Linked DNA regions of Nothobranchius furzeri. The protein of the gene in region 1 binds, or shares a complex with, the protein of each later gene. Links are inferred from orthologs where the notes say so. Each region holds a gene or a part of one and is shown on either strand. Other genes may lie near its edges.

The links. Proteins that work in one complex are often made in the same cells at the same time.
Region 2: interferon regulatory factor 2-binding protein 1 (region 1) and banp share a complex: the UniProt entries of both Homo sapiens proteins name them as parts of the corepressor complex. The link is inferred for Nothobranchius furzeri from reciprocal best matches to the Homo sapiens genes IRF2BP1 and BANP.

What each region holds. Positions count from the first base shown.
Region 1 is NC_091750.1:43,019,924-43,025,251, forward strand, and holds the start of interferon regulatory factor 2-binding protein 1, read left to right. Parts: upstream 1-1,777; 5' UTR 1,778-1,964; coding exon 1,965-3,734; 3' UTR 3,735-3,762; intron 3,763-5,328. UniProt on the Homo sapiens protein: Acts as a transcriptional corepressor in a IRF2-dependent manner; this repression is not mediated by histone deacetylase activities. May act as an E3 ligase towards JDP2, enhancing its polyubiquitination. Represses ATF2-dependent transcriptional activation.
Region 2 is NC_091744.1:74,152,347-74,157,174, forward strand, and holds part of banp (protein BANP), read right to left. Parts: intron 3,512-4,828; coding exon 3,387-3,511; intron 3,222-3,386; coding exon 3,150-3,221; intron 1-3,149. UniProt on the Homo sapiens protein: Controls V(D)J recombination during T-cell development by repressing T-cell receptor (TCR) beta enhancer function. Binds to scaffold/matrix attachment region beta (S/MARbeta), an ATC-rich DNA sequence located upstream of the TCR beta enhancer.

The DNA of each region.
Region 1 (5,328 bases):
CATTTGTGAGACTAGAGCCGTCACAATTCACTCCCAAAAGAAGTCCTCTGGACATAACACACAAAATATGATTTAGTTTTTTATATTTTTATGATGTTGATTTTTTTTTTGACAAAACTCACCTCACGATAAATGGGAGCCAAAACAAAAGTGTTGCATTTATATTTTTGTTCAGTGTATTTAACATTTCAGAGGAGCAGCAGGATGAAGTTAACTTCTTGGAGTATTTAAAAACATCAGTTTTAGGTAGTAAATATGACAGATATTCATCTTGGTTTTAATGTTCCACCAGGTTGTGACGCTGATCCAGCAGGTACCATCACCTCTGTTGCTGCTGATCATAGCTGCTTACTGAGGGACAGAAAATAAATAAGCTTCAAATTCAATTTAAAGATACTTTATTAATCCCAGAGGGAAATTAGAGTTTCAGTACACAATTCTGAGATCAGAGATACATACATAGGCAAGACACATGACAAGAATTGGTGACTGTGGTCATTCACAACCCGTCGCACTACCTTAATAGAGATCAGAGGGTTTATATGAGGACTGAGTCAGGTGGAGGAAAAAAAGGCACTTCAGAGTTACCCTCCACAGGGAGGGCAGCTTTGCTATGCAAAAAACACCTCAGACAGAAATGTAACAGACTTCAGACATCACACAACATAAGTGATACATTTATTTAGAGAGGCTTATTCAGTCTCCAATATGACATTTCTGCAAGCTTGTTTACATGGAGACATTTAAGAAGATTTATTTTTTATTTTTAAGGAAAATAATATCTCTTGAATGTAAGTTCATATTCTTGTCAATAAAGTGAAATTAAAATGCTGTCCAAAAGCAAAAATATTTAACAAATACACAATCATAGAACAGGCGTGGAATTGTCTCAGAAGCTGTACAAGAGTCAACTAACTATTTTCTATATTTTTTAATAAAATATTTTATAGGATATATTTGATTAACTATTTTAAAAGGAACTTCTTTAATTTTGTTGATGACCATATATTTATCAGCAATACTGACCAATTATTACTATTTATTGTATTCTCCCAAAAGAACTGACATTTAGGAATCATTGTGAATAAACTTTATGTTTGAAAAATGTTTTGTTACGTTTTCTGTCCAGCATGTGAATTCCATTATTCTTTTGGTGTTAGCTGTAAATTCGGTTTTGTTTTGGAATAGTCTAATAAAACCAGGTGGAACTGCATCAAAAACTATCGAGTAATCTTTCACAGAGATTGGAATATTTAAAGTTTTGAGAAACTCAACCTTCTTTATCATGATCCGACCACACTAGTCGGAATGACATTCAGATATTAGTGTGGCAGAAATAATAATAATAATAATAATGATACAAATATAATGATAATAATAATAATACAAATAATAATAATAATTTAATGTATATTTAACAGTGATATTAGAGCTAAAAGGATGAATATTTGTTTATTTATTTTTTTTACTTTATCTTCTTGCATTAATTTTTTTACCTTTATCCCACATTTGGCGAGTTGGGATCTGGTGTGTGTGTGTGTGTGTGTGTGTGTGTGTGTGTGTGTGTGTGTGTGTGTGTGTGTGTGTGTGTGTGTGTGTGTGTGTGTGTGTGTGTGTGTGTGTGTGTGTGTGTGATGACGGTAGTAAAAAGATGGGGAGAGATAAAACTGCCTGCGTACCTGTTAAACTCCAGTACCCACAAGGCTTTGCGCTTGAGTCACGTAGGTGTTTCCGGTGTCTTATAACATTTTACTTCCTCCCACACAGACCACACGAACAAACAGATACAGAAAACCTCGTTAGTTTACACTTTTGTCGCGTTCCAGTGTTGTTTTTACTCTGTTTCTGTTGAATAAGTCGTGGCATGTGACGCGAACTGTCCGAGGGTTGAAGAATAACCGAGAAACACGAACCGTAACGTGTAGGCCTCTAAAGAAAGTTTGGTCTCCGGGCCTGTAAACAACATGTCCTCCGCCTCGCAGTCTTCCTCCAGACGCCAGTGGTGCTACCTCTGCGATCTGCCCAAGATGCCGTGGGCCATGCTGTGGGAGTTCAGCGAAGCGGTGTGCCGGGGATGTGTCAACTACGACGGCGCGGACCGGATAGAGCTGCTTATTGAAACCGCCCGGCAGCTGAAGAGCACTCACGGTGTTCTGGATGGCAGGTCTCCGGGTCCACCGCAGGGCAAGCCCAGCTCAGTCGGTTCCGTAGAGGTGGGTCGGCAGCATGGTGAACGTGTAGACAGAGGGAGGGGGGAATATGGGGCGTCCTCTCGGCTCCCCAATGGTCTGCACAGAGCTGAAGATGTGGCCTTGTCTGAGGGGAGCCGTCAGAGCCCGAACACCCGTCGGGCTGTCGCTGGTTCAATACCCGGTCTGCATGGCTCCATATCTCATGCTTTAATAGCTCAGGGGCTAGTAGCAGCTCCTCACGGGCTTTTAGCTCCCTTACCGGGCTCCAGAGCCGGGGCCACGTCCATTGCAGTTTCAGCTGGCCCTGTAATGAGTGATGCTGGCAGAAGGCAGGCAGTATCTTTGAGCGTGGGAGCCAGCACCTCTGCTCTTGTGGGATTAGATCCAGCAGTTTGGAGGAACAGTGAACTGATGGCAGAACTGAATGAGGTGGCCCGCAGCAGGGTCGAAGGTTGGCCAAACCACCCAAAGGCAGTCCGGGATGTTCTTGTGTCTCTCAGCAACTCCATCCCCTTCAACGTGCGTTTCAGGAAAGACCATAACCTGCTGGGTCGCGTCCTGGCTTTTGATGCCAGCACAACTCCAGAGTTTGAGCTGAGGGTGTTTGTGGAATATCCTGCTGGCTCTGGAATCATATTCTCTGGAATCTCAGACCTTGTTAGGCAGATGTTCCGGGATTCAGCCAAAGATGCAGGCAAAGCAGTGAACTCTGGGCTAAGATACGTGGAGTACGAAAAACGACAAGCCACAGGAGACTGGCGTGGTCTGTCTGAGCTGCTGAATGACGGTGTACGCATGTTTAAAGAGCCCCCAATCCCAGAGGTCCTGCCACAGCCAGACCCTGTACTGTCTTTGGCAGCTCCTGGGCGTCCAGGACCAGCAAAGGGAACAAGCAGACGCCGTAAGGCTTCTCCTGGCTCAGAGAATGGAGAGAATGACGGGAGACTAGATCATCCATCAAGGGAACCCTGGCCTCGAGCTGCCTACACAGAACCTCTTCCGGGCATGGCTGCTCCTCAAGAAAGCTTGCCACGTTTACACAGCCAGCCTTCACCCATTTCTGCTCTCATGGGAGTTGCAGACAGCCTGAGCTCTAGTCAGATGGCTCGAGAAAGCCCCAGCATGTCTGCAGCCCACTCCTCGGGAGCTGGGCACTCCACCAGCAGCAGCCCCTCCACCGCCTCCACCTCAGCCTCCCAGGCAGCCATGGGGCAGGGTCTGAGTACAATGGGGCCTAGTAGTAACACCAACACCGGGGAGAGCACGAGCAGCACACAGAGCGCCCTGCTCTGCTGCACCCTCTGTAGAGAGCGTCTGGAAGATACACACTTTGTCCAGTGTCCGTCTGTCCCACACCACAAGTTCTGTTTCCCCTGCACTCGAGGATTCATCCGCAGCCAGGGTCAGGGTGGGGAGGTGTACTGCCCAAGTGGGGAGCGCTGTCCCCTGGCTGGATCCACTGTGCCTTGGGCTTTCATGCAGGGAGAGATCTCCACCATCCTGGCTGTAGATGGAGATGTGAAGGTCAAGAAGGAGGAGTGATCCTTGAAGTCTCCACCATCCTGTCATGGTAAGATATAGAGAAAAACAAACGAAAACTAACACCCTTCTTCTCTATCGCTGACGAGAATTAAAACTAATGTTTTATGGTCTGCTGAGCTGATATTTACTTTACTAAAATTTAACTGGTTGGGGGATCAGCCGGTCTAAAGCACACAGTACTTCCATTTTCTCACTCTTCTCTTTGTTCTGTCATCACAAAACTAATCACATTCAGTGCAACACTTGAATTAGGTTTGGTGCCACACTTTCTGTGGGACCAATTTGATATTTCTTTGAGACTGATGCTGCTGATGCTGTAAAAGTAGCAAAATATTCTTATATGACTGTGGGCTTTTTAATCCAACTAGACGGTCCCAGGGGGTTTCCTGTACCAACGTAGCTGGTTTGAGTCAGCCGGCTCCTGCAGAACTTGAGGTGCTGATGAGGTGGTCCAAGCACTGAATCAGGATAACAGCTAAAACATGCAGGGCAGTAACCATCTAGGACAGTGGAGTCAAACTCAAATTCACACTGGGCCAAAATGAAAAACTGGGACGATGTTGCGGGCCAAACTCAATATATATATTTTAAAAGTGAGACAAATGTGTACATTTTCCTTTATCTACAGATGTGTACTGTTGAAGCTTTTCATTTGGAAACAAACTTATTTTTACCAAAACACTGAATGTGGAATAAGGAAATCACACACGAGCAAATGGACCTTAAATAAAGCACACATCAGTGGTATTTGTTACTTAGTTATGTTTCATTTATTTACTCTTTTTATTCCTTGTTTTTTGCTCTCGCCTGTTACCTTTGTGCTTTGAAGCAGAAAAAGTGCCTAAAATCAAAATAAGCCAAGCTCAGTTTGCTCCACTGTGATGCTCACCTGTTCCAGCCAGACACCTGCATGTCTGGGGTCGGGCTGTGAGCTGAGGAAGGAGTTCATCAGTGAGGCTGCGGTGTTGTTCTGTTCATCTTCATCACAGACAACAGAAGAGCGTGAGTTTTGTCCGCATAGCTGGTAGTAAGTCGGACCTGTTCCCAGTGAGGGTTGGACTCCGCCAGGGCTGCCCTTTGTCACCGGCTCTATTCATTACCTTTATGGACAGAATTTCTAGGTGCAGCCGTGGTGTGGAGTGTGTCGAGTTTGGTGGCAGGAGAATCTTGTCTCTGCTTTTTGTGGATGATGTGGTCCTCCTAGCTTCATCCAGCTCTGACTTTCAGCTCTTGCTGGGTAGGTTCACGGCTGAGTGTGAAGTGGCTGGGATGAGGATCAGCACCTCCAAATCTGAGACCATGGTTCTCGACCGGAAAAGGGTGGCTTGCCAACTCCGGGTCGGGGGAGAGGTCCTACCTCAAGTGGAGGAGTTTAAGTATCTCGGGGTCTTGTTCACGAGTGAGGGTAGGAGGGATCGAGAGATCGACAGGTGGATTGGTTCGGCGTCTGCAGTGATGCGGACGCTGAGCCGATCTGTCGTGGTGAAGAGGGAGCTGAGCCAGAAAGCCAGGCTCTCGATTTACCGGTCGATCTTCGTCCCAATCCTCACCTATGGTCATGAGCTTTGGGTAATGACCGAAATAACGAGATCGT
Region 2 (4,828 bases), on another chromosome or scaffold:
ATTGATCTAAATCATCAGTCAGTGCAGAGTGAACCTCCTCTGATCACCTGCATGTAAAAAAGCTGATGTCTAGACTAGAGAAGCATCAAAACGCTGGTTTCTGCCAACCCCTGCATGATCAGACAGAGTTTCTGAGCATGCAGATGTTGGCGGTGTTTACGCGGCTCATAACGAGAGGTGAACGACATCCCCTTGTGTTGTCAATGGCTGTATTATATCTGGCTGCAGCAAACAAGAAGAATCTGCTTATGACACCGTAACAATCAAGTCAGCACTGTTTTGTGTACATTTGCTGCTCCGTCTGATTTTTCATATGCTCAGAGAGAGCAGCACAATCTCTGAAGCAGTTAATTTCCTTCTCAAGTACGCTGAAACCAACGTCTTTGATGAAAGGGGCCCGTTTCTAATGAAAGCATGTTCTGTGAGGGGCAGCTGGCAGAAGTGGGGTTTTGTTGCTAAGCTTTGAACTCCAAAAACAAATAATATCTCGGAATAGGAAGGAGACGGGGGAAGAAGAAAAAGAATTTTGGACTCGGCCACAAAGAGCAGGAAAAGCTTTGGAGGTTTTTCTGCCTTCAATTTATTGTGTCTCCCTCTCCTTCAGTTTTGCGTTTCGTCCAAAAGGTCCTTTACCACTACGACTGAAAAGGAAATGAGAAAAGCATTTGGTTAAGGTGTCAATTGCTTCTGCACAAATGTCAAGCCGTCACCCATGTATGACATGTATCATGTTGAGTATTTGATTACATGTAAGAGTGTGTACATAAACTGGCGCCTTGAAATAAATCTCTCTCCCACATCCTTGAAAAATCATTAACAGTGATGCTGATGCAGAAGTTCCTCTTTAACAGTTAGTGTGGTTTGGAGGTAAATTATAATGTTAAATGGCAGGTTGTGTGTATATGGAACGATGTCTTATGGCCTACAATGAGTCACCTGAGCGTTATATGGAAACAGCTCTCTGCATAAGTTGTTATTTATACTGTATAAATAATACTCTACTCCACATAAAAGCTTTTCTTTTTCCGGCTTTCACTAATGTCTTAAACACGGTCCGAAAACACTTGGGTGGAACTTGTTTTATTGTGGTTTTTGAATAGAAAACAGAAACTGACAATGTTGAAAAATGTGAGGTACACCTCGGATATCGCACTCTGCACTCCGACAAGTCATTAGCAAATCTGTGGACTGGCCATTAAAGAAACAAAATGTAGTTTTTACCATTAATCCCTAAATATATCCATTGAAATGTTGTTGAAAATGAATCAAATGATGCTCAGTTGTTGAAAAATATTGGCGGCCTCATAAAATATGACCATAAAAATTGGGTCAAAAATGCATCTAAGTCTCTGGGAGACACGATGTTAGATGCAAAGTTTCCTTCTACGGGAGCCCGTGAGGAAAGAAGTATTTAATGATTTGTAACAAGCAATTACAAAACTTTCACCATTCGTTAACGATGTTGTTTTACACATTTACCTCTTCACTTGTTGCCAGTGTTGACGGTCATTTTGTTGGAGGTTGAACAATCTGATGAAGTACATGATCAAAAATAGCGCACTCAGGGATTTTTGACCGTAATGACCATCCGTTGGTAAGGTCTTACTCAAACACAAAAATACTGCATGCTAGCAATGTATGCACAGCTTCCTATCACCAGGGAAAATACACACTGTCACTTTAAGGAAATTATCTACAATGCTGATCATCATTTTTATACAAAAACACACTTCAAACTGTCCAAATTATCCACTCGTGTTTGCATTTGTCATTCAAATGTTTTGTGTTAGAAGGGAGGAGAGGTTTCATTTGCCAGCGCTGACCTTATCTATGGAGTGCCACAAGGGTCTATTCTTGGCCCTCTCTTCTTTTCCATAAATTTACTGCTACTTGGTAATTTTTCCACTGACGCAAAGTGAGGTTTCACCTATATGCAGATGACTGCCCTGTTTATGTTCTCCTGAAACTTTGATTTACTAACTTTTACCAAAGACAAAACAGAGGTTATTCATTTCGATTCAAATGACAGACCCCTTGCACATCTGATTTGACCTCACTGGCCAGATGTAGGTCTATGTATTTCTCTTCTTCTTTTATGCAAAATTTTATGTAATTGTATAAAGAGTTCCCAAGGAAGAACAGCAGCAACATAAAATTGGAAACTGTGATCCATGTGTTTATAACCTCATGACTGGATACTGTAACTCCTTGCTCACTGGATGGTTCATAAGTCTGCTGCTAGATTTTTTATAGAAAAGAAGAGAGAGAGAGAGAGAATACCAACCCACTGTTAACTGCATCCACTGGTTTCTGGTTTGGTATTGAACTACTTTTAAAATTATTTGCTTTTCAAGTGTTACATGGAAAGGTTCCCACATATTTGTTGGATCTGCGAAGCAAGAAGAAGCCACCTTGCACACTTAGGTCTGCTGATCAGTGCCTGTTGGTTGTTTCTAGGTATAAATGAACCCGAGAAGGGGCCGTGCTTTTTCAGTTGTGGTCCCAAAGTTTGGGGAATGATCTGTCATTAAATTAAATCACTAACAAACTTTAAAAATAGGCTGAAAACACATTTTTACTTGTTAGCTTTTATGCTAATTTCACACTAGCCGCTGCTGTTTTCAGTATTGTGTGTTTTGGCGAATGTATTTTAACTTGCACTTTTAATTATGCAGTATTTTTCCATGTGTACTGTAAAACACTTTGGATATTCCTCATATTATTGAAAAGTGATTTATGAATAAAGCTGATGATGAGAAATCTTAATTTAATCGCCAATGAACGAAATATATTGCTGCACTTCCACAAAATGAAAACTAATTTCCTTCTTTAAAGACAAAGCCAGCAAAAGCATGCTTGCACGACTTTTGTGGATAATTTAAACCATTAAGCAAAACAATGATTGTCAGTGTTACCACACTGTAACTAAATTGCCAACCACTTACAAACTGGCATTCCCAAAAGATGGAAGATATCAGTGATTGAATGCCCTGCCAACCTCTCAAGCATGAATGAGCTGCAACAGTTATTCCCTGTTTGGAAACAAATGTCTCTGAGTGAGGCATTTACTGAGAAATTAAATCCATCGGGAGGGGAAACCGGTCAACTGTGTCTCAACTTCTGTCACACATGCACACACAAACACTTGCCTCACTGTCCTGTGTGATCTGCACCTCCTCCCCTTGGGGCACCTGGGCAATGTGCAGCTGTCCCTGTGGAATCTGAGACGAAGATAAAAAATTACTCAGAATTACAGGCACTGGGGGGAAAATTCATGCCAAATAATAACAGAAATACGAGTCATTTTAGTGACTCGTAGAGCAACATAAAGGTCAAGAAAGCCTGTTTTGTTTACCAGAGAAACAGAAAACTAAAACGTCGCTCACCACCTGAACTTGTCCATCTTCACCAATGCGGTGGAACTGAACCTGCTGATTGGCCAGTGTGTAATGCAAAGTCTGCTGGGTAGCCGTCTCAATGTGTGCAGGTTCCTCGTTCATGTTTTCATCTGCTGGCGAGGACAAGGAGTTCACAAAGAACAACAAAAAAAACAAAAAGGCGATTAAGGAGAAAATAAATCAACGCTGCTCGTGAAAGCAGCCAGTATCCTTCCAGCATGACAAAAGAATCCAGTTTTGTTTACATTAAACTAATCTGCGATAACGCATCACATACACAACTTTACAAAACAAAGCTGTCTTCCATCTGTCACTGACACCGCTGTGTACTGTATTATATAAATAATTCTCCGTACTTCCAATCACCAGATGAAGCAGGAATTGCCAGGTGGCTTTCGGAGGCTAAAGAGTTTGTTTGAACTCTAAGTGATGCAAATTAGTTAGGATTTTTAAAAAGAGGTGCCTTTTCCCTGTTCATTTGACACGTAATTTGATTAAAGACAGAATTGCTGTTTGGTCTTGTGCATGTGTGCTGCATGCTGATGGATGCATCTGAACAAGCATTTGTGCTGTGCGGGTAACACTTTATAATAACTACATCTTATTTAGTCTTAATTACACATGAACACGCATGTAAGTAACTACTAACAAATAATTAATTAACAATGACTCTTACTTAATAAACAATTAAGCAATGCATTAATTAATGCTTTGTTTTTATTAAGTAAGAGTCATTGTTAATTAATTATTTGATAGTAGTTACTTACATGTTTGTTCATGTGTAATTAAGGCTAAATAAGATGTAGTTATTATAAAGTGTTACCAAAAAATGGATTAATAAGAACTCTGTTCATGATTTGTTAATTATGAATAAGCCATAAATAAACAGCTTTTACATGAAACTAGTCATTAGAAGTTAAGCATTAATTAATGTGTTAGTCAGTTGCTTAAAAGAATTTTGTTAATGGTTTGTTACATATGAATAAGAAATGAGTAAACAGCTTTTAAAAGGGACTAATCGTTAAAAATAAAGCATTAATTAATGCATTGGTTAATTGTTTATTAAGTAAGAGTCATTGTTAGTTAATTAATTATTTGTTAGTAGTTACTTACGTTTGTTCATGTGTAATTAAGGCTAAATAAGATGTAGTTATTATAAAGTGTTACCGCTGTGCGCTGTGGGGCGTGCGTGGTCAGAAAAGGAAAGGCCTGACAATCTACCCCAAGTGTTTCCCCCTCACAGGATATTTGGGTTTCCCCTGCAGTGCAAAGCTTCCCTGGTCAGAGGTGAGAGGTGATAACTCACAGGAAAGGAGCAGAAGGGCGTCGTGTGTGGATAGTAAACATTTGAAGCACCAGACTTCTTGATATCTGGAGGGTCAGACTGCATAATAGCTTTCATATAGCTGATAAAATAAGATGACTTTGAG